4 linked regions of the Drosophila melanogaster genome follow. The protein of the gene in region 2 purifies or fractionates together with the protein of the main gene of each other region. This does not show direct contact. Each region holds a gene or a part of one and is shown on either strand. Other genes may lie near its edges. The genes, in order: CG9467, Fim, Inos and CG11267.

Region 1 (5,732 bases), on a different chromosome or scaffold from region 2:
AGGTTGAATTTGTGTACAAACTATTTGTATGAACGGCTCGACAATTGCTTCCGGGCGAGGGTGGGTAATCGCTCCAAGTATCTACTCCATTATTATTATTCTATCTCAGTACCAGTGCGTCCTATTTTAGGTAAATTAAAGGCAGGGGTCCCACTTGACGAGCCACTTGTTTAAATTGTTTATTAAGCACACCGGCGGTCGTTAGTGGGTTGTGTTTAGGCCAATGATATTTAAATGGCGGTCGGGGTTGGGTTGGGGTAACTTACCTACAATACACAAATGTATATTATATATATTTTTATATGTTTTGGCGTTTTTGCTGCTTTTTTACTTTACTGAGGTCCGGTATAGGCGTAGGATATCGTATATACACGTATTTACACACACAACACCCACGAGAATGCAAGCCAAGTATTTGTATTTGATAAATGTTAATGGAACACTTCAACCATCAAGAAACTAAGATAAAATGTTCAATAAATTATTGATGACACAACTCGCTCGCTATTTTGATATCTCTTTGTGTATAATTATCTTTATTTATATTGAATATGTATAGCTGTTTACTGGTTGCAACAAGGCGTATCATTATATTCATGTGTGGCATTGCATGCAACAGGACAGATTCGAATTTGAAGCAGTCGCTCTATCGATTTTAATCACAAGTAATCATCTTCAAGGTTGACAATCAACTGATTGGCTGTTTAATGAACTTTCTTTGCTTAAGGCAACCAATCTTATCCAAGCCGAACGATTTCGTATCTGTCCTGATGGAGCACCCTTTAGGAGAGTTGTGCTAATTATAGATGATCGGTTGCAGAAGTCTTATACTCTGGTTTACATGGTTTTAACTAATTTTCATAACTTTAACTAGAACAAAGACAGACGTTTTTTTTTTAAATTACTAACTGTACGATCCAAGTTTGGAGGAGCACAAAAAATGGGTTTACGGGATACACATTGCATTTGCAAACACATCGAGCACATATAATGGAGATTAATTGATTGGGTAAATGCCTGCTGGCAGTTCATCACGGCCCAGTGGCTGGACCGCGGGTGAGTCGCGTCACCCAGACGTAGATGAGGGCGCACACCACGAACTGCAGGAATATAAACTGGTAGTCGAAGATTAAGCTATACCTGTGAAATGTAAACGATGAAACGCGCCCGACAAGCGCCAATCAAGCAGCCGCTTCCACGTCTCATTCGTTGTTGTCGTCAGCCATCGGGATAGCAGCTGCCGGCGCCACAGCCTCTGGAAGAGCAGGTTGGACCTGAGCGGGCGGCTGGACGGCTTGGACGGCCATTGCCATTGCTGGTTCCCGATTTAGCAGGGCTATGTTGCTGGCTTTCATGCGGGCTATGGAGGAGGCCATTCCAGAGCCGTTGCCCATAGCTGATAGACACGGTGACATACAAGGTGTTGTGCATGATGAATTGCTGATTTCACACTGGTCAAGTAGGCGGAGAAGCTCATTGGTGTCGGGTCCGCCATTGATTTTCTGCTGCGGCTCATCCTTGGAGAGCAGCGCCAGTGCAGTGGTTAGGTCCCACATTTGAATAGCGCCGTTGCAGTGACCGGTGAGTATGAACCGGGACGATACCTCGCACTCGAGCACACAGAAGGCCGAAATTGTGGAGCTATCTACGGATCTAATGACGCACACCCGATCACCGTTGGAGGCCAAGCGTACGTACAGCTGATCCGTCTCGGGCACCACCTTTTGCACAAATATCATGTCGTCGTAGTCACCGTAAGGTCCAAAATCATTTCCAGCCGCATAGCTGTAGCTCGTATCGGTAGCTTCCAGCGACACGATTTTGAACGATGCTTCCGGCGTGGATCCCGGCTGGGTGGAGAGCATGCCCCGGAAGCGGGTCAGACGCCATGTTCGCACGTGGTGGTATTCGCTGCACACGGAGACGAGGTATTTCTCCGACAGCATCACCTTCGTTACGGGGCTTTGGTGCACAAAGAAGGTCTCGAACAGGTGTGGTCCATGGCCAGCTGTCTCCGGATGCTGGACAATGATTCGAACCGCTCCCGACTTTGTGCCATAGGCAATTTCAATCCAATTGCCACTTATGCTCGAGGTTTTTGGGGTAAGGTAGACCGAGATGGCCGTGATAGGGTCTAGTGTGACATCTTTGTAGAGCTCGGTAACCAGTAAATCATTGTCCTTTATCCGGAGCGGGAACTTCTGCATGTCTATGTAGTAAATGGAGCCGTTGTTGCAGCCCAGCAGCAAAAAAGAGCCTGCGGAATCGAATGAGAGCACGGGCACTAGGTCCTGAATCTGCCAGTGCTGCGTCATCGCATGCCAGACGCCGATCTTGCCGGAAGATGACAGGGCCACCAGCTGACTGCCGATAAAGAACAGGTACTCCACTCGCACATTTAAATTAAACGTGCCCACATCCGTTTTCTGGCCGCCCTCCTGAATGCTCCACAATCTTATCTGACTGCCGTAAGAAATGGCCACCATCTTGCTGGGCAGTGGCTCTGCTGCGGAAGTATTCACCTTTGAGTTGATGGCGATTCTTTCGATAGTGGCGTCGATGTGGGGCGATGTGAACACCTGCTGCCATCCGTTGGAGTCTTTCACCCGGTAGCAAGTCACAAAGTGTGCGTAAGCCACTGCTATCCAATTTTGGTGCGCCTTAATGATTTGCACTCGCAACGGGTCCACCCAGTTTGAGTTCTGCGTGGGACTGAATACCAGGCCAACTTCGTTTCGAAAGACTTTGTTCAGATCGGCCGAGGAGTTCCGAGAGTGGCGCATAAAGTCAATCGAGGGATTACGTGAGTGCAACATGGGAGCTGGGGGATTGGCACCATTGCCAGTGCTACCTGTGCGACCAAGGCGCAGATCCCATGATGAATTGCGCGAGTGTGAGGAGCGTGAGGGTTCGGGAACGCGCACCATGGACCCAGGACGACTGCCAATCGCACTGGCCGAAGTGGAGGGCAATGACTCGTCAACGCTAGTAGCAGCCACAGCTTCGTTTGACGGCATGGGCGGCGCCGCCAGAAATCCGTAGAACAGCAAATCACCGCAGGACGAGTGGTTAAGGTCTTCGCAGAGGGCCAGGCGCTTGGTCAGCGGCGTGATGCCATAGTACTCGGCCTCATGGCGCAGAGCGCGTATTTCGCAGTTCTTGATGTCGATGTCCTTGGTCCTTAAGTAGTTAAGTATGATCGAGAAGAGCGTCGGATCGCGATCAATAAAGATGGCATTGTGCTCGTCTCTGAGACTCGAGATGCGTCCGCTGAGAAGAGCCGTGAAGAAGGTGTCCGGGATCCACGTAAGCGTTTGCCGCGACGTGGAAAAGCTATGGATAGTGAGATGGAGTTTGCATGCGTCATCAATGCCGTTAGTGGGCCGTAATGTGTTGGTTCTTTGTTCTTACCGCTGACCACCCACATTGAGGTTGACCAGGTCGCTGCTGGAGGCATGCGTGAAGTGGGACATGGCAATCCGATGACCCGCGGGCTGCCGCAGCAGCGGACGGTGGGGATTGCTCTAAATGCGCCTCTATTTGTGTGGCTTCCGTGCTCCCAGCGCTCCAATCAGCAACTGATATGGCGGAGCAGTGGCAGCGGCGTCAGCGGAGCAGATAACTCGCGATTTCGGTACCCAACCCACTTGACGTGCGCTGCGGGGTGCAATTTATTCGATTAACTCTTTGTGCCAGGCTATTTATTTATTTATTATTTGTTGCACTGCACTGTAGAAACTAGGGATGGGCAAATTGGTCGTGACTGTTCCCAGCCATGACGAGTCACTGTTTACGGGGGGTCCCTGTTGCATTTAGTTGTTTTGCTGAACTTTCCACTTTTGATTTTGTATGTGTTAACTCACCAAGGTTTTTGATGGTTTCCAAACAACAATTCATCATTAAAAAATAATTAATATAGAAATAAAATTAATTTGGGCATCAGAAAGTATATGCATTTCCACAATTATAAGCAACGATATTTCTTGTGAAGCAGTGTACATCTCTAACTCTCGGTTAAATTCCCATGCAATACGGTCATACCACCTTTTCGTCAAGCAACGGTTTATTTCGCTTGGTGGTAAATTTGAAAATATTGTAAAGTTATGACTTGTATTAAGCATCAAAACAAAAAGCTCATGGATCTTGCTGTCACACTCTGAGCCTTTGGAACTACGCTTTAGTTTAGTTTCGGACACCACTCAAAATTTCGAAAAAGCCCAAAATGCCGGCGGCGAAGTGCGGTTGTTTGAAGAAGGAGGCTCGCGTCCATGTCATCTACGTGGGTGGAACCATCGGAATGATCCGCAACGAGTCCGGAGGTGGGTATATCAATGGCTCTTGTCCGTGTACTAATCAATTGTTTCTCATCAGTACTGCACACCGCGCCCAAGGTGCTGGCTCGGCAGCTTCAAGAGTTTCCCAGCTGCCACGACAGGAATTACACCAGCAAGGATAATGATGGTCCCATGATGGTGCTACCCGCAGTGTCTGGAGCTCCGTATAGAGTCCTTTACGATTTGATTGAGTTCTGCCCACTGATGGACTCCAGCTGCATGGGCTTCTGCGACTGGAAGCGCATTGCCAACGAAGTGGGAGTAAGTTGAGAGTCGAGGATCATCAGGTTAATACAAAATATGCAACTAACTTTTTTCGCAGAAGACATACAAGTCCTACGACGGCTTTGTGATCCTCCATGGAACGGATACCCTAGCCTACTCCGCCTCGGCACTAGCGTTCATGCTTGAGAGCCTGAACAAGCCCGTGGTATTCACTGGGGCACAGATTCCGATCTTTGAAGCCCGCAGCGATGGGCGGGAGAACTTCTTGGGCGCACTTCTCATAGCAGGAAATTACAGTATACCCGAAGTGCTGGTCTTCTTCGGCAACAAGATTCTACGTGGCTGTCGCTCCACGAAGCTCAATTCTGACTCTTTTCACGCACTGGACTCACCAAATTTTGCACCATTGGGTCGGGCGAGTGTCAACATTGAGATCAACAGCCGCCAAATCTTCCGACCGTGCAATATTAAACCATTTTCACTTCATTCGGAACTCGAAAAGAACGTGGCGCTGCTGCGTATTTACCCGGGAATAAGTGCCAGTGTGGTGCAGGCAATCCTGAAAGAGCCAACGAAAGGTGTTGTCCTCCAGACCTTTGGGGCCGGCAATTTTCCGGTTAATCGTGAGGACTTGCTGGACGAACTGAGGGAGGCGGTTCACAGAGGCGTTATTATTGTCAACATTACGCAGTGCTCGGCGGGCATGGTGGCCAACATTTACGAGACAAGCCAGGGTCTGATGGAAGTGGGCGTAATACCCGGCTACGATATGACTCAGGAGGCAGCCTTTACCAAACTGGCCTATGTGCTGTCCAAGCCGGAGTGGGACATTCCCAACAAGAAGAAGGTGATGCTACTAAGTTTGCGCGGAGAGCTGACCACCAATAAGGTTGCCAAGATTAACGACATTGATCTGATCGAGGGCGTGGCCCGCACATTGCACATGTCGACGGCGATGGAACGGCAGCAGATGTGCTCCACATTCTATCCCGCTTTGGTGGCGGCCGCGGTCACCGAAGGTGATGTCCACAAGTTGGGCGATCTTAAGCAGTACGGCGCCAATCTGTGCGACACCAACTGCGATGGTCGCTCCGCCATGCACCTGGCCTGCTTCCTGGGCAAACTGAACTGCGTTTGCTTTCTAATTTCCGCCGGCTGTCCGGTAAATGTCCA
Region 2 (7,890 bases):
AGACTTTATGTTGATAACTTCACAGAATTATGACTTATTAAGTGAAACGGCTTTTATATTGGTATTTTTATTTTCTTTATTGTTTTACTTTTATTCTGCATATAATATTACTTCATCTTCTTCTTAATTCGTTTTTTCTCTTGGATTTGTATGTCGCCTCATTGCACTAAAAATGTTTGTTGCCCTCTCTTTCTACGCCGTGTTGGCGATACCTATTGCCACCTCGCTCTAACGCACTTAAACGCAAAATTATACAAATATGTAAAAAGAAATTGAACAAACACGCACGTTGAAAAAAAAACACATAAACAAAGGCGTCTTACAATTACTCGCAAAAAAATTTATAGTAAATATAAAATTAGTTTCTCTGTTTTTCTCGACTTCTTTTGTTTCTGAATATTCCCCATTCCTGATCTTCGTTCGTTATCTTTCTTTAGGCAACGCGTTTATGGAAAAATATATCGATTTATGTAAATTTATATGTTATGTATATAGACGCATATCGTAATCGTATATAAATATATATGTATATATATTACAGAGTTAATTGTTTTCGTCGCAATGTTAATATTATAATTCTTTCTTAATCCTGCACAAGTCGCTTTTTTTTTCTTTCTTTTGTTTCACCATTCTTTTCTTTTAAGGATTTTAAGCGGAACAAGCTAAACCTTTATTTATAAAATAAGGTTACAGTTGTATAATTAATCAATTGTTAAACAAAACTAATTAAGAAACACCCCGCCGGGCTCGAAAACAGATGTGCGACACTCTAAAATCTGTTTGCTTAATTACAATAGGGGGAAACTCATACTCAATTATATAATATATAAATATATAATAAAAAAATTACAAAAAGTAATTGAAATAAAAAAAAAACACAAAAATGTATTGGTAGCGCAGGAAGGAACGCAATCGAATAGAGTTATTAGTAATTAGCGAATACGACAAATTTACGTAGTTCCCACTCTGTTCTTCCCTTTCAAAATCCCATCCTTTTGTTTATGTATAAATGAGTTGTGGCTATGGCGCCTAATTGCTGTTGTTGGCGGAGCTGTTGTGGTTGTTCTGGTCCACACTGTCCATGTTGGGCACGTAGTCGAGGGCCATCATGCAGGCGAAAACGGTCATCACCATTTTCGGCTTCACCTCGGTGATGTCCTCGGGCAGGGCGTAGACACGGGCGCCGATCTTGCGGGCCATGGAGATGGCATACTTGGCATTGGCCAGGTTATCCTGCGGAATCAATAAGCGCTAGTTTAGTCTGCCACATATCATGACATAGTCAGGACTCACCTCCTGTGTTCCGCTAGTGCGCACCAACTCGTAGTTAATGCTGCCCTCCTTGATGGCATCGATCAGATCGATCACGATCTTGCCATCGGCGATGGCCGGATCGTTGAAGTTACGCAGCTGCGACTGTTTGCCTGCCTCCGACAGTCGGTTATTCACCCACTGGACGATCTCCTTCTCGATAATGGGGTTGCCAGTGTTGGCCAAGCGGGACAGAATGGACAGGGTGTAGGCACGCATAAGCTGCCAGATGAGAGCTGTAACCATAAGATAGTTCAGAATTGGTAACATCCAAAAATACAATTAGAATAGCAATGCTTACCCAACGTCAGCGTGGCATTGCCATCGTTTAGATCCTGGCCTGCGATTCCGACCAGCGAGAATTTGAGCTGCTTGCCCAGATCCACCGCATAGTTGCAGTTCTCCAGCTTTTCCATGAACTTGCGCAGCGGGCTGAAACGCTTGTGCACACGGCTCCAGTTGACAATACCCGGCTTGATGACGTCGAACAGCTGGAAAATGACCAGACCATCGGCCAAATCGGAGTAAAGCCAGTTCACGTGCGGTGCCACGCCCATTGAGTTCATCCAATTGCGGTAGGCTAGATAGAAAAATAGAAATGATTGGTGTAAGTTAAATATTTTCCAAATATGTATATAACACCTGAGTATTATAATTCTAAGTAATCGTATTCTTATAAGTACACATATATTATTGTATTATATTCTTATATTCTTCTTGTGATAAATGGTCTTGCGAGCTAAAAATTCCCGGTTTTTATGGCTTGCACTTCTTGTGCAAAGCCGATTGATAAACATATATATTTATAATTGCTTTAATTATGCTATATAAGTGGCAGTTGATATCTACATTTTTTTTATAAGAAACCCTGGATTTTTCCTGATCAACTTTGATTTCTTGTGTTTAATTTTCAATTAAATAAAAACGGTATTTTGTACCGATCTTACGTATGGCTAAATATTAAGTACTTACTCTTCTCTTCGCGCGTCTCCTCAATGGACTCGAGTCCCTCGATCTGCTCGGGCTTGTCCAATCCTGGATGGTTGTTGAACAGATTAGCCACGAAGGCTAGATTGAGTTTGTAGACTCCGTTGACGACATCCTGTGGCGTGAGGAAGCTGCGGCAGTTGAGCTTGGCGGCCTGCTGCAACATGATCTCCGCGCGCGACTGCAGATCGGATTCCCGCAGGGCATCCAGATTGACATCAGCATCATTGCCGGCAATTTGCTTCAGCAAATGCGAATAGATCTCAGAATCGACGATGTCCGACTGGAAGTTGGTGCACCGCCTCGAGATGCCGGCTCGCTCCAAATGATGGTTGACCCAACGCAAAAGGATGGCCTCCGGCGACATCTTCATCAGATCCTCGAGACGTTCGTTGTCGAAGAGTAGGCCAGCCAATCCCGGACAGCTGTCCAGGGTGATGTGGCTAAACAGACCGATGCGGATGATCTGCCAGAGAAGACCCAGCACCAGATGTGGCTTGCCCTTGGCCAGATCGTGGGCATCGATGTTTACGATGTTGCATCCAATCGCCTGGGAGGAAACCAAGGCCAGGGTCAAGTTCTCAAACTCCCGGTAGACGGTGAGGTTCTTCTTGTTGATCGCACGCTCATCGATTGTGTCCGGGCAGGAGTGGTTGATAATTTTGCACAGCAGAATACCATCCTTGATGCTCAGATACAAGCGCTTGCCCTCGCTATCGATGGGCAGCAGATGTTGCAGATCCTTGTCGTGGCCCAGATTCGAGTTAATCCAGTCGGAGAAGGCCAGCTGCTCCTCGAGGCGCACCGAATGGGTGGTGCCCTCCGACGAAATGCTCGACATGCCGCCCAGGGTCTCCAAGTTCTCCTTCTTGGAGACGACCGTCTTGAATGTGCTGGCCACATCCTTGCTCTTCAGGTCCAGGCACAGTGCCTCGAACTCCTCCAGATTCAATTTGCCCTGGAAGGCAGTCAGCTGTTTGCCCTTGTACTCGTCAATCATTTCGCGCACCTGGTAGCCGGCCAGCTTGAAGCCCACCTGGTTGAGGGCATCCTTTAGCTCGTGCAGATCGATGAAGCCATCTTTGTTGGCATCCAACTACAAGAAGGAGAGGGATTTTAATTAGTATTGGTTTAAAACAATTTGCAAAAACTATTAGATCTAGACAGTTTTCATTAACATTGGCATAAACATTATTGACCTTTCCTGAGGCATAAACTTAATTTCTGGCCTTCTCGGAACTCAAAATGACTTAAGGGGCACACCAATACAAATTGAATACAGGAAAGATCCATGAGTAATCCCCGGTCATGAGTAAGTTGTCCGCCGCCTATTGCCACGATCGATCTGTGAGTCATCAATCAAATCCGAAAGCCAAACACACAGCCGCATTCCAGTGCCTGTTTTATCTGCGGAATTCGGAATGCAAAATGCTATATTCCATCTCCCGCAACCTTATCGCTATATTGTCTGTGTGCCAGCCTTATCGAATTTAATTTCCATTTTTCAGTTTTCAGTTCGAGGGGTCTTATCTCCCACCTGACTGACATATCGCTGATTATCGAAAATTGTTCGCTTCAATTTATACAGTTCAAAAGCGTGAGTGGGCGCCACAGAAAATAAGAGAAAATATACAAAAAAAAAAAAAAAAAAGAACTAAAGAAGTGAAAGCCTGAACGAATGAATCAGTTTGTAAACACTTGAGATTCGGACCCGACTTGATTATTTCTTGCAAAGTTTAATGACTAAGAGGTGGCCACTTTAAATACTAATTTTAATCTAGCTGGGATTCCTTTAACAGATTTACATATAAGAGCTATATAATTAAACAGTCCAGTCAATTCGATATATTATTATATGGGTTTCACCACTTTACTTAGATTTATTAGTCATATTTAATGGTTTAAACGCGATTTTTGGTCAAAATGCTTGAAATAATTTAGATTAGATAAGCTTTTATTGTTGGCATCGAAGGGAAATATTTATGTTTATGGTTTAAGTTGTTACAAAATGAAAAATTAAATTAACAAATGCGAACCCGTTTGTTTAAAACTATAATAGCATTGAAAACGGTGGCTGATCTATGTTGCAGTGTATACTATCTTTTTAAACTTACTGAGAACTAACCTAACTCAATAATATTAAGGTTAAATTATTTGGAAACATAACATTTTAACGTGTAATAATGTATTATAAGTACTTTTTCTTAATAAAATATAATAATTTTGGAATATGTTTTGAAAATATTCCCAGCTGATATGTTTAATATTCCACATAAAATCATATTGTAGCTTAGTCCTCAACTATGCCACAGTTTAATAAGCTTGAAGTTAGTTAGTTTTGCTCCAAATTGTTGCGATTTCCATGGGTACCCCCCAATTCGAAATATCGAAATTGGTGAAAACCCAAGTATTCAGCCGGACGGTATAATAAAACGTTCGACATTTTCGCCATATTCGGTGTGCGAAATAGGACAAATCTGAGGGGAAAAGGGGCAGTTGGATCGGCTGATATACTGGACTGTGGAATTTATGGCTCACTGGTTGGTAACTCGGTTTAGTAGTGGTGCGTTGATTGCTCCGCTTTTGCTGTTTGTCGATAAGATAAATTTCTGTGCGCCAAAAAATGAACATAAAAAATCGAAAGCAGCACACGATTACGTGTATGGTAATGATATGATAGGTGGTTCACGGGTTTTCGCGGGGGGAAAACCGTTAAGCCAACGAGGGTGTTGTCCTTGGCCAAAAGAGAGACTATCAAGCGGACTGATAGCTGGGATATTCTTTTGGCCAACATTTGACTGACATCGAACGGAAGTGATTCTGATTTTCGCCATAATTTCGGGGGGAGGTCTGTAGTGGGTCAGTTTGAAGCGCGTGCACTTTATCGGAGGTGTTCACTGTAAAGGCCCCTCTTATTGGCATTGGGTATTGGTATGCGTGGCACCTGTCGGTGTTATCGATTAAAAAGCTATAAAGTGCTCCGAGAAAAGTTGATAGGGCAGAAAAATAAAGAGGGCGAAAAAAAAACACAGACACACCAAAATCGAGAGGGAGTGATTACGTGAATTGTGGGTCATAAAAAATTCAAAATTAGCGTTTTAAAGGCTGTTCAACTCAAGACTCTCAATTTAAAAACGAAGTTTTTTTTAAGTATGTGAGGAATTTAAAAATTAACATCCGTATTCAATTTTTCAAAGATGCTTTAATGCGATATCTTCCTTATATGCGTTCCTAATTGCATATTTTTGTATGGTATAGTTGTTTGCTTTAGCGGTTATCCACTGTAGTCGAGACCGTGGCGCCACCTACGTTGGGAATGAGCTCCTCGAGATTCTGCTTGAACTCCTGAACCGTTTGGTGCTGCTCCACGTTGAGAATATCGGCCATTATTCCAATGTATGTTTGCACGCGGAATTAATTTTATTATTTACGATATTCCTTCTGGTTTTCGTTGCGAAAACAAACAAACAACAAAAAATTAATTGATTTGCACACAGTAAGTACACAACACACGCACAAACGCGTCAGAAAGAGAGTGGGTGGTGCGCGAGCGGAAGAGATCTCCAATTGATCGGGAGAGAGCGAAAGAAAGTCGGCGCGAGAGAGCCAAGGATGCGAGCTTTAATTAAATATTTCTTGTAACTACTCCTTGCTTTCTTCCTCGTTCTTCGTTCTTCTTTCTTTTTTGGCTGATTCGCTTTCCACGGGCTATTGTTGAGTACTAATTGAGTGGTTCAGTGGAACGGACTATTTATGCCTTTTCTTTTATCACAAAAAAACAGAGGCAAAAAACAGCACTCCAATCGAACGGAGCCTTATCAGTAAATGAGAGAGTAAAAGAGGGGAGAAGCCGTGCAAAGAGAGGCAGACGAACACCTTTAGAAAACGCGTCATCCTGTATCGCTAAAAAAAAACTATGATAAAAAGTTACTTAGTTTCAAAAACGGCAAAGTAAAAGGTTCAGTAAATGTGCAGAAATCATCTATAAAGAAACATTGTTAGGTATATATTTTAATTTTCTCCTGGAAGGGACAAGATCCAGTTCCCTCCTTACTTTATTTCTTTCAATGATATTAGCCATTCTCTTTTGCTCTCTCCCAGGTGCAACAATACAGCAGGGTTGCCAAGTCGCCATAAAATGCGGGGTGATTATAACATACAAACAGCAACATATCGCAGCATAATTTAAAATATTTATTTCGTAATCTCTTATTTGTTTATCATTTTTTACATGTGAATAAATCGTTAAACTGTACACCATGAATGTACAAACGTGACGTAGATCAAGTGATTCAGCTTATAAGAAATTATGCAAGCTGTATGAATCGTTGCCTGGATAGTTAAATTTAGTTTTAGTTCATATTTCAGTTGATTCACTTGTCAATTTTCGGTCTCTAGCGTGACGTGGCAGCCCTATTCGCAACACTCTCAAAAGTCCGAAATCGCTTTCAACAAATTGCTTACGCATCGAAAAGTTTTCGTTTAAATGCAATACTACTTGGCGGGTGAACTTATAGAGAGATAATGGGAAAATGAGTGTAAAAAGTACCTGAGAGAGGGACACGGTATTTAAACGTAATTGGTTTTTTAATAGCCATTATATCAGCGAGGGAATTATGTGGCAATTGTCATTTCGGTTAGGTTATAACTTGTACAACATAAATCTAATTCCAGCCAAGATAATAAAAGTTCGAAGCGCGATAAGACAAGGAAATGCGACAATAAACGTTTAGAACTTCCTTCGAACATAAAAACCAGGGGGTTAACGTAAAACTTTAAAGGATCTTGTGTTCAGAAAAAGTCCTCAAGACTGCCAAAATATCTTAAAAAAAATAAGCTTTGCAGATAATAAAAATCGAATAGTTTAAGAGCACACTTTCCCCAGTGTAGTTATGCACAGTGGCCAGTAGTGTTATCGATCAGTTACTCGCGATGACTAATCGCTGGACATACAAAGGCTTTTGTTGTTTGCTTGTAAGTGTCGCCGCTCCTCGATCGACCGATATTTCGAATTAAAGAGAATAAGCCCAGCTGAGCAAACGCATCTTTTGTTATAAAACAGTTGTTGTTACATAATACTATCCACAAGTTTGAGCAAGAGCAGCTGGGCTTAGTCCTATAGGTAATGCTATCAGATTGGTTGCAATCGAAAATGTTGTGCTAAGTACATATATACATATTTATATTACAATATATCTGATATATGTATGTAAATCTATCGGTCGTTAACCTTTCTAAACAGTTTACTGTTTCCCCTCGATAATTACTCCAAATTGCAATAATTTAACAAATATTTACCTCATAAGATGAGTTTATTGTACTTCAATTCACAAAATATATTGCACTTAATTAGCACCTGTAGTACGCCTACCATTTCATTGATTGGAACGCGTTCATTTACACATTTAAATTTGTTAAAAGCCACTTTCAAGTATCTTATTTACTGGCAGTAAGAAATCAAACACCAGAACCGCACACGCCTGACCCCAAGCAACTTTCTACGGGTTCACTTTTGGTGTCACCGATGTTTGCCAACCCTTCACCTATGTACACTCGAAAAAAAGGGCATTAAACAGCAATTTGTTTTTATTT
Region 3 (6,135 bases), on a different chromosome or scaffold from region 2:
TGATAGTGGTTATGTCCTCAACGATCGATTACCTTTATTAAAATAAAGTGTCTTACCGGACATAATTTAACACTCATATAATATTTTATACTTTAATATTTAGCAACAATCATCGGGATCAAACCGATTCAACTGTCAGAAAAAAAGGTTGACATTTTTAGCAGCAAGACCACAACAGATAGCGTTTTTCGCCTAAAAGGTGGCATTTTTTTTTCTATTTCATGTTATTTTCATGCCTTCAAAAAAATGAAATTGGAATATGAGAACAAAAAGCTTCTAATATGATAATAACTAAACTATTTGTACCAAACAAACGTCGTTATTATTTACCCATCTTAAACTAAAATTTACTCATACTAAGAACTTTTGAATAATCTTCGAGAACTAAATTTTAGGCTAAACGTGGATATTAATTAAGTATTTCAATGCAGGAACTTCCTTCCATTGTTGTTTCCCAAACATTTGAAGATGTGTTCCATATCCAGTAAACTCCATGATCTCTAAGATATGATATGATATGATCGTGCTCATAAGAAATAAATATTTGTTTTGTGGTATACAGACAACAGTCTATTACGCCTTTTTATATTTAAACGATTCAGTTAGTAATAGTAGCTTAAGTCTATTTCGTAGTTTATCCAACTAAAACCATATATATTCCAATTATATATTCCGATCGAAAATCAGGGATGCGGCCATCCATCAGTGACCATTGCCGTTAGTGGCCAGCTTGGCGGACCCATTGGAGTGTCCATTGGCATGGAGCTTCTTTCCATTGGTGACCGATTCCACGGAGCAGGGCTGGCCCAGGATCTTGACCCTCTTTAGAGGCGGCTCATTTGTAATGGTAGAAAAGTCGAACTGTGAATAGAAAGAAGAAATCGAGGATATTAAGGATCCGAATGATTGCTTTTGACTTGACCCTACTTACCCGCTGCTCCAGGGTCATGTGTGAGATGGGCGGCAGACCAATGCAGCCACGCAGGATATTCTCTATGGCGGCGCGCTGGCGGAAGAGCGAGTTGACCACCTGGGAGCCCTGGGGCACCAGTGGAGCCTTGCACAGATAGCTCAGCAGGGAAAGCACTGGCTTGAAGGGAACCCACGGGGCGGATTCCTTCTCCGCATTGCGCAGCTGGATGCGAGTGCTCAGCTCGCCGAGGATAACCAGGTCCAGAATGAGCGGTGTGGCCAGCAGCGAGTCCTCGCAGGTGTTGTGGATCACCAGGGTGTTGTGGCCGCCCATCATGATCTCCGATGTGTACTCATCCATGGCCCGCTTGCTGTCGCCCACATAGGGCACGTACTTGATTACCACGACGTGGTCGGGGTGCTCATCGGGTCCGTACAACAGCCTGTTGGAGGCAACCATGTCGTCCACCACGTTGCTCTTGGAAATCTGCCGGAGGAGGAGTTATTATTAATAAGAGGAGGAATCCTGGAAATCCTGGCTGGACTCTTACCTCCTTGGAGCGGAACTGTTGAGGAGCGGACAAGTTCTTGCCATCGTTGTTGCCCAGATGGTTGTAACTGGCAATGGACACCGGCTTGATACCAGCTCCCACCAGGAAATCTACCAACACGCTCTTGATCTTGGTCTGACCGGACTTGAAGTCATCGCCGGCAATGAAAACATTCTTCTCCTCGGCCAGCTGGATCAGTCCGGGCACAAAGGTGTTCTGCGGAGAGCCGTTGATGTAGGTGCACTGTGGAAGTGGATACATGGTGGATTAGGTAATTAGTCTTGCTTATCAATAGAATGGAGGAGAATAACTCACCCCCTCGGCGATGCTGGCCATTGCGAAGATCGTGGAGGGTGACACCTCCGAGTGGTTGGCCTCCAGGGAGGCGATGAGCTCCTGGCTGGTGGTGTTCAGACCAGGCTGGACATCCGCGAAGCGCTCCGTGTTGGCAGTCCAGAGGACGATGACCGAATCGACGCCACTGCGCTCGCGGAAGTCGCGGATGTCCTTCCGGATTTGCTCGTACTGCTCCAGACGAGTGCCACGGATCACGTTGTCAGCCCGATCCGACTGATTGGCCGCGATGAAGTCGGGGTCGTAGATGGATGGACGTGGGCGCAACTGAGCCAACTGATCGTAGATCTGATCCTGCAGAGCCACGTCTAGGACCTCGGCCCTGCGCATGGCGTCGCCCAAATGCAGGCCACTGATATCCCAGCCATCCACGATAATGTTGTCGGGCTCCACCATGGGCAGCAGCTCCTTCATGGGCACGTACACGTCACCGCCGTCCTCATCGGATCCAATGAAGACGGTGGACGCCTGTGTAATGGAACCATACCAGTTGGCCTCCTGGACGCCCGTCCGCTTGCGCCACTTCAGCTGGCGACGATTGGCCTCCAGGGCGGCGGTCAGCGTGGATCCGTTGTTGCCACCCCATCCCACCAGCATCACGCCCAGCTTGGGCACATGGCGACCCGTCCGTATCTTCAGCGACGTCGTCTGGGGGTGCACCTGCAAGATCGATCGGTGATTAGAGCCGATAAGCAGGAGCAATGGCACAACCCGTTTGGTCTTATTATAGGTCCGGCCACCTTATCGATATTTCACATTAGCCACCCAAGTCAGGTAGCCGCATAAATTATGATCGCGCGATTTCTGCGAAGCAAACCTGAAATTCACCCCTTCCTGATATTGCCAACGGGGATATCTGCGATTGGGTGCTCTTGGCAACACATCGATTTAATTCGATGAAACTAAAACCCTATCTTATGTTACAATATGATATAGGTGTAAGTGAACTATATGAAGTATTAAAGTACCCAGGAAAATGGTATTATATAAGCATACAAAGGTACAATAAATTTTCATACAACAAATTTCGCGAAATCTCTATGGTCTGTAATAGTTTCATATGTTATGTTATCATCGGATGAAACAAATAACAAATGCATTATTTACACGTAAGAGGTATCGCACGATCGTATAACCGCATTTGGGTGTTGTTGATTTGGGCAGTTCTTGCTCGATTTCTGTTTTTGCCGAGTCAACGCGCTCTTTGATTTGAACCACAAACATGTCATATAGTATAAACTGATGAATAAGAAATGATATTGATGAAATAATAATTTGGGAACGTGTTGGTCCAAAGTCCGATAACAAGATGTCCATTTGCCGGCCTGCGAAATTATCACATTTCTTCAGCCGGCTAAGAGAGGAGCTCTTTCTCTCTTTACATTAGATGCTCTCTTCGCGGGCATCGCCTGACAGTGACCTTGAGGCGCAGCAAGTGTCCGTGGGAGGGAAGTGGGCGAAGGGAGATGGTTGATGGGTGGAGTGTATTGTTTGCAGGCGGTGTAAACAGAGCACGTACCGCGACCACAATCACTTGGAAAAATGGGCTATTGGGTTTCTAGTCGGGTGCACCAGCCCCATTCCTATTTATTTAGGTGCCATTCGAGCGGCCGAAAAGGCGCCTGCGCATAAAATCACGCCACTCGCGCTCGGTCCGGAATAGTGACGAGATATCTATCGGCCGTATTTGTCGTCAGCTGTTCAGCTGAGCAATCAATAAATTGTAACTGTAACGCCCCGCCTGTGTGAGTGCGATTGGATAGGAGGCCGGCCCTCTCTCTTATCGCTATTTTTGTCTTTTGCGATTCCGGGGAGTGGTCCCTATGGACTCCGAGAATTCGGCACAGCTCGGTCCTTTGCTGGATAATGGAAAGTTTCACTGGGTCAATTTAGTTGCTAAGTTAACGCTTATATTGGGGTAGCAAGTTTCAGTTCATTACGCTATAACGAGCTAACTCTTAGTTAAGATTTTAAACTAATTGTGCTTGGATGTGATACGTTAAGGATGTTCACAATTTAATTTATAGTACGAAATTAATCAAATAACTTTAACATGGTTAAATGGCCTTTTCATTAAGTTCATAATTTAAACATTGCTTGTTACAGATTTATATTAAAATTTATAAGATTCTGTTTTGTAAAATAGAATGCAATTAGTCATAGGTGGCCTATGCTGGACTCGAAACAAAATAAACCACTATTTCTTCATCCAGGTGAGAAATATTTTTCTCCGAGTGCAGGCGAGTGCGCATTTGAGCGGGAGAGCTTATCCATCCCGCCTGTTGGAAAAGTTCAATGTGAAGGTCAGCCGGAAAATGACTGTTCGCACCACATTCGATATCAATATCATTCAAGTGGATGATGCTTCCGATCAACTAGTGCCCATGGTTCGATAAGCAATCCCTTGACGATTGGACCTACCTGGAGCTGTCCATCGGCGGTGCGCTTCACATGGGATGTCTGGTAATCGTAGTCGGTGGTGATGAACTCATCGTCCACCTGCACTTTCGGCGAGATTACCTCCAGGGTTGAGTTATTGGTGGGCTTCATTCTGGGATGTTTTTGCTAACACACTCTCGTCTTGTCAATTAGCGCGTTTCAATGTGCTTGCTTCTGGAATTCCTGGCTTCTGCAAAAGAGACTGCGATGTGGTCGAGGCAAAAGTTCGCGGCGAATGACTCGGCTGAGTGGAAATCGGGCCGCTTTTATGGTCTCCCGCGGGCAGAGGCGCACTCTCTTATTCCGCGACTCATGTACGATATGTGCATATACTCTCCACAACGCTCTGCGGCGCACTTATAGGAACCAGATGATATCGGAAATTTTCCGGCAAGCGTGGGATTTCTTAGCGAGCATCGCGGAGTCCTTCTGTCCGCCTCTTTCCAGCCGGAGATCGTAGTACACCTATTTCCATAATTCATTGAGTGCCCAATTGAGTTTGAATTCGAGGAAATGGTTCAATCGTGGAATTTCCCACTTGCTCTTATTCTCAAATGGTTTGTAACGCTTTATAAAAAAATCTGATCGATTTCGTAAAAATTATGAAGAGTACTTTTAGTTCAAATAAAGTGGTATGAACGGAAATGAGAAATAAAACTCAAAACTCAATTCTTAAGAAGAGAATATTTGCAAATCCATTATAAAAGCTAAAGTCTAGGCATATTTGTTTTTTTTTAAACAGTTGATGTTATTTTTAAAAACGTTGGTAACAAAAGGGCTTGAAAAAGTGAACTATGTTTAAAAATATTGGCGAATATTTATATTTATATTCTTGATCAGGATCGTTAGCGTAGTCAATCTGGTAATGCCCGTATGTCTGTCCGTATGAGCGCAGGATCACCTGAACTATAGAAGCTAGAAAGTAAAGAGTAAGCATGCATTCTGGCCACGCCTACAATTTTCAAAAATATTTTGACCGGTGCGATTTTACTTGCCAATTTTTATCAGTATGCCAAAAAATTCTCAAATTTTCCCTTGCATTCCCACTAGCTCAATAACTCGTATCTGATAGTCGAGGAGATCGACTAAAGCGTTCTCTTTTGTTTTTATATTTTATTTCCATACATAGATACAATCCTATACTGACAGGCCTTAAAGATCCCTTAGCCTCGCTTGAATAATCTTTAATTAGTATTCCTACATCATTACATCATCATAATTATAATCAATTTCAAAAATCTCAGTACCATCTGTTGGATTGGAACTGCACACATGCATGAGTAGAATTCAATTCTCCGGTACCATTTAGCTAAGTCTTCCCGTGAGAGCAGGCCGAAGGCTTCGTCGAATCTTCTGGAAGCCAGATGTAAGCGAAACTTCTCAAAACTTTCCATTATTGCAGCCAATTGAGTGCGAAGGGAGCTCGAATTACTATTTGTTGATCAATCAATGCAGTGGGCCGTTCCGTTTGCACTGCAGATCAAGAAGGTTCCATACCGAATTGCCCCGCTGGAGCAATCAGCAGACCGGGCACATGCTGCAGTGGGTGTGGGCGTGGGCGTCTCGTTTCCCTCACATGCAACTCTATCGGCGGCTCAAGTCTGGCATATAGTTCCAGAAAAAAGCAACAACCAAATACTCGGTATCAGTCCGTATCCATTTCCTGCTGGGGGGCACCCTTTGGACGAAATGTTTGCACTTATATCAAATAAATGTATTTCGAGATTGCAAAGCGACCTTGAACTTGAGTAGCAAATACATAAAGTATTTAAATATCTTAAACAAGCGTACGATAACATTAAATAAAGGCTAATATTTGAAATATATGTATTTGTGTAGATACTGGTGGGGTCAGTATACGTCTAATATTATGTACACT
Region 4 (3,242 bases), on a different chromosome or scaffold from region 2:
AAACCTTCAAAGAGGGCCTCGCGCGCTCCGATATTCTGCTCAACAAGTGGGTACCACCGGAAAATTCCCATATCCTTTAACAACCTATAACATCTTTCAGAAAAGTCCTATCCGACCTCGCCATTTGGGAGCCGCGATCTTTTGAAGCTCTAGTAAAGATCTCTCGAGAGCGGGCAGCTGTGGAGGGAATGCCAGACATCAAACGGAGATCGGCATTTAACCAGGTCTATGGACTGAGCAACCTGAAGTTGGATTAACATAGCCTTAAGTAGGAGTTCAAATATAGATATTTGTATGTTTTAAACGTGTAATCTTTAATTTTCACTTTGAAGGGAGTAAAATCGTTTGGGATTTGTTCTTTAGATTAGTTTTTAACTCCGAATTCGTATTTACATTTAGTTACATAATTCGTAACTTCTGCTTGCTGAATGAAATTTGATACTAAATCATTAATTTATTTACTGCAACTACCTTTTCCGCGAATGAATCCAATATTTTTTCGAGTAAAATGACAAATGTGATTAATGACAAAACACCTGTGCTGCTAGTTTTAACAAGTAACTCGAAATTTATTCAATGACGGTCCATGCGCAATGCAAACAAAAATATTGCATGAGCTTTTATTGTAGTTTTTAGTTTCGGGTTTGTGGGTGTGTTACATACTAATAAAAAGCATAGAATTCATAGAATTGTGAGACAGTGTCCGGAGGCGAGATCTACTCCAATTTGGCCAGGATGTCGGACTCGCGGAAGAGGAACAGCTCCTTCTGGTCACCCTCTAGGTTCACCTTGGTGCCACCGAATTCGGGCAGCAGAACACGATCGCCCTCCTTCACGCCAATGGGAATGTGGTTGCCAGTGGACTGCGGATGAAGTGGGATGTTCAGTGATTAGATGACCATCTCTGCATTGATAATGGCGAAATACTCACGGCATTACGGGTGCCAGGGCCTACGGCCAGAACGGTGCCCTCAAGTACTTTGCCCACCGCTTTCTCCGGCAAAACAATGCCTCCTTTCGTCTTGGTCAGCGCCTCGGCACGCTGGATTAGGATGCGGTCCAGCATGGGGATGATCTTCTTGATAGCGGCGGCCTGAGGATCATTAAAAAAGACCCAACAATTAACCCATGTTTCAATGTTTCATGTTTCTCTCATTGATTACACAACAGCCCGGCGAATGGGATGTGGACCGAAAGCCGTGGAACCTTCTCGAAAAACCGATATCATCCTTCGATTTCAAACTGTCTTCTAAACCTCATATGGGGCAATGCACTTTTAACTTACCATTTTAATTCTTAAATGCAAACTGGAGCGGTTGATAAAAGTTAATGAGTGAACTTTTTACTCAACTACACGTGCCGGCGTAACTATTCTCGCTAGATGCGGGACTGCTTATCGTCGGTGTGACCAGGCTATTTCACGGATATAACATTGAGAAATAATTTTTTCTGTTCGAATACACTGAGAGAAGTCAATGCAAAAATTAATAGTTGTGTATAACTTTTAAAATGGTAATAAACTTTTCGCCAAGTAATTGCCGAGTTGATTTCCTATAAAACATGAAGATGAAAATGAGTCTGGTGGGTGGACTTCCATAATAACTTGTATACCAATTTCAGGAATTACTCCTTTTATATGCAATTTAAACATATTAATTTAATTTCCATTAATTTATAATAAACATGTTGTGCAATTTTCTGTTCTCATCTTTGTTGAGCTAAATAATCGTTTTTTAAGAAATTAAATCAGAAGCCCAGAAATCTTCTGGGCTTTACTGGTGTTTTAATTTTTTCAAATTTACTAATATTAAAATATAATATAATATAAAATAAACATAAAACAGAATTGTTTGTTTACTTCCTCGAAATTAGGTATGTTCAAACCAAGGAGTTGCTATTGATACTAGCGATTTAAATCGATTGACTCTGGCAGCGGATTGTTCACACTACACCCTGTTGCAAAGTGCAAGACAATAAAGACAAGCAACAAAATAATTGAAAAGTGTGGCATTCCTGAGAAAAATTAAAAAATTTCAGAATTTTCTAAACATCTTGTTTTTAAGAAGGGAAAATAGCACGAAACAACTATCGATAGCTGCTGACACTCCCACCACTAAATCTGATTGGGAGATTTATTTGAGTCACCGTTTTGCCTTGTTTACATTTAATGTAATTTGTACCAGATAAATCTTATTTGATTTTACTCAAGTCAAGTGGCACGATGTGCTTTTGTTGTTCACTTAGTTTACAGTTTGTGACTGCTATTTTCGTTTAGTTATATTCGCCAATAAGCCAGCAATTAACCCACTAAAATGTCTGATCGTCGTGGCACAAAAGTTGGAACTGGTACGAAGGCTTTGGAGTATTGGTGCCGAGTTGTGACCCAAGGATATAATGGGGTCAAGGTGGAGAACATGACCACTTCCTGGCGAAATGGACTTGCCTTCTGCGCCATAATACACCACTTTCGGCCGGATCTTATAGATTTCGACCGACTTAAAGCAGACGATATCTATGAGAACAACGATTTGGCCTTTACAACGGCCGAGAAATATTTGGGAATTCCCGCACTGCTCGATGCAGCTGACATGGTTTCGTATGAAGTACCTGATAGACTCTCCATACTAACGTATTTATCCCAGTTTTACAAGGTGCTCGGCAAGAGCCTGAAGCACCCGAAGCCAGAGGAGCCACTTGGCGAAGAGAGTGAGCCACCGCAAAAGGTGATGCACATTGTTGGGATGCCTCGACGTGATAAGTGCCAGAAATGCAACCTTCCTGTTTTTCTCGCCGAAAGGGTCCTTGTCGGCAAACGGGCTTATCATCGCACATGCTTAAAATGTGCAAGATGTTCGTCATTGCTCACACCCGGGAGTTTTTATGAAACGGAGGTCAATAACATATACTGTTGCGAGACTTGTCCCGATGAAGAAAGTGAACCGGAATCTGACATTTTAAAGTTAAAGACAACCACTACTGATTCTCCGAATGATAAACAAATGGTGGCACAAAGTTCTGATTACTCTGAAGCTGAAGATAAACAAGAAGACCTGGAAGATAATGATATACGTACTACTGATAAGCCTGAAAACTTCCAACCGCCGTCCAACAAAGATGAACAAAATAATGAACTAACTATTAATCCGGTAAACCCTATATTATCAGAGGAGCGTAAAATCTCTTTTATTCCACTAGACGAAGAAGATGGTGGCCTTATTGAACAATATAATAAATCAACAACT

Evidence for each region.
Region 1: the proteins of Fim (region 2) and CG9467 purify together in Drosophila melanogaster (affinity purification with mass spectrometry, with the first as the bait; one large-scale study listed by BioGRID). This does not show direct contact.
Region 3: the proteins of Fim (region 2) and Inos purify together in Drosophila melanogaster (affinity purification with mass spectrometry, with the first as the bait; one large-scale study listed by BioGRID). This does not show direct contact.
Region 4: the proteins of Fim (region 2) and CG11267 purify together in Drosophila melanogaster (affinity purification with mass spectrometry, with the first as the bait; one large-scale study listed by BioGRID). This does not show direct contact.

The regions. Positions count from the first base shown.
Region 1 is NT_033777.3:9,797,258-9,802,989, forward strand, and holds CG9467 (uncharacterized protein), read right to left. Parts: upstream 3,770-5,732; 5' UTR 3,474-3,769; coding exon 3,412-3,473; intron 3,334-3,411; coding exon 1,203-3,333; coding exon of another isoform or gene 1,032-1,202; 3' UTR 512-1,031; downstream 1-511. Other genes in the region: CG8526 (uncharacterized protein), read left to right, coding at 4,223-4,319, 4,372-4,595, 4,657-5,732.
Region 2 is NC_004354.4:17,285,644-17,293,533, forward strand, and holds Fim (fimbrin), read right to left. Parts: upstream 6,027-7,890; 5' UTR 5,686-6,026; coding exon 5,608-5,685; intron 3,395-5,607; coding exon 2,284-3,394; intron 1,892-2,283; coding exon 1,613-1,891; intron 1,548-1,612; coding exon 1,294-1,547; intron 1,234-1,293; coding exon 1,030-1,233; 3' UTR 61-1,029; downstream 1-60.
Region 3 is NT_033778.4:7,454,371-7,460,505, forward strand, and holds Inos (myo-inositol-1-phosphate synthase), read right to left. Parts: upstream 4,505-6,135; 5' UTR 4,368-4,504; coding exon 4,239-4,367; intron 2,478-4,238; coding exon 1,779-2,477; intron 1,707-1,778; coding exon 1,464-1,706; intron 1,400-1,463; coding exon 932-1,399; intron 862-931; coding exon 703-861; 3' UTR 552-702; downstream 1-551. UniProt on the Drosophila melanogaster protein: Key enzyme in myo-inositol biosynthesis pathway that catalyzes the conversion of glucose 6-phosphate to 1-myo-inositol 1-phosphate in a NAD-dependent manner. Rate-limiting enzyme in the synthesis of all inositol-containing compounds.
Region 4 is NT_037436.4:13,014,208-13,017,449, reverse strand, and holds CG11267 (uncharacterized protein), read right to left. Parts: upstream 1,401-3,242; 5' UTR 1,289-1,400; coding exon 1,286-1,288; intron 1,094-1,285; coding exon 932-1,093; intron 864-931; coding exon 717-863; 3' UTR 547-716; downstream 1-546. Other genes in the region: mRpL20 (mitochondrial ribosomal protein L20), read left to right, coding at 1-46, 101-257; MICAL-like, read left to right, coding at 2,313-3,242.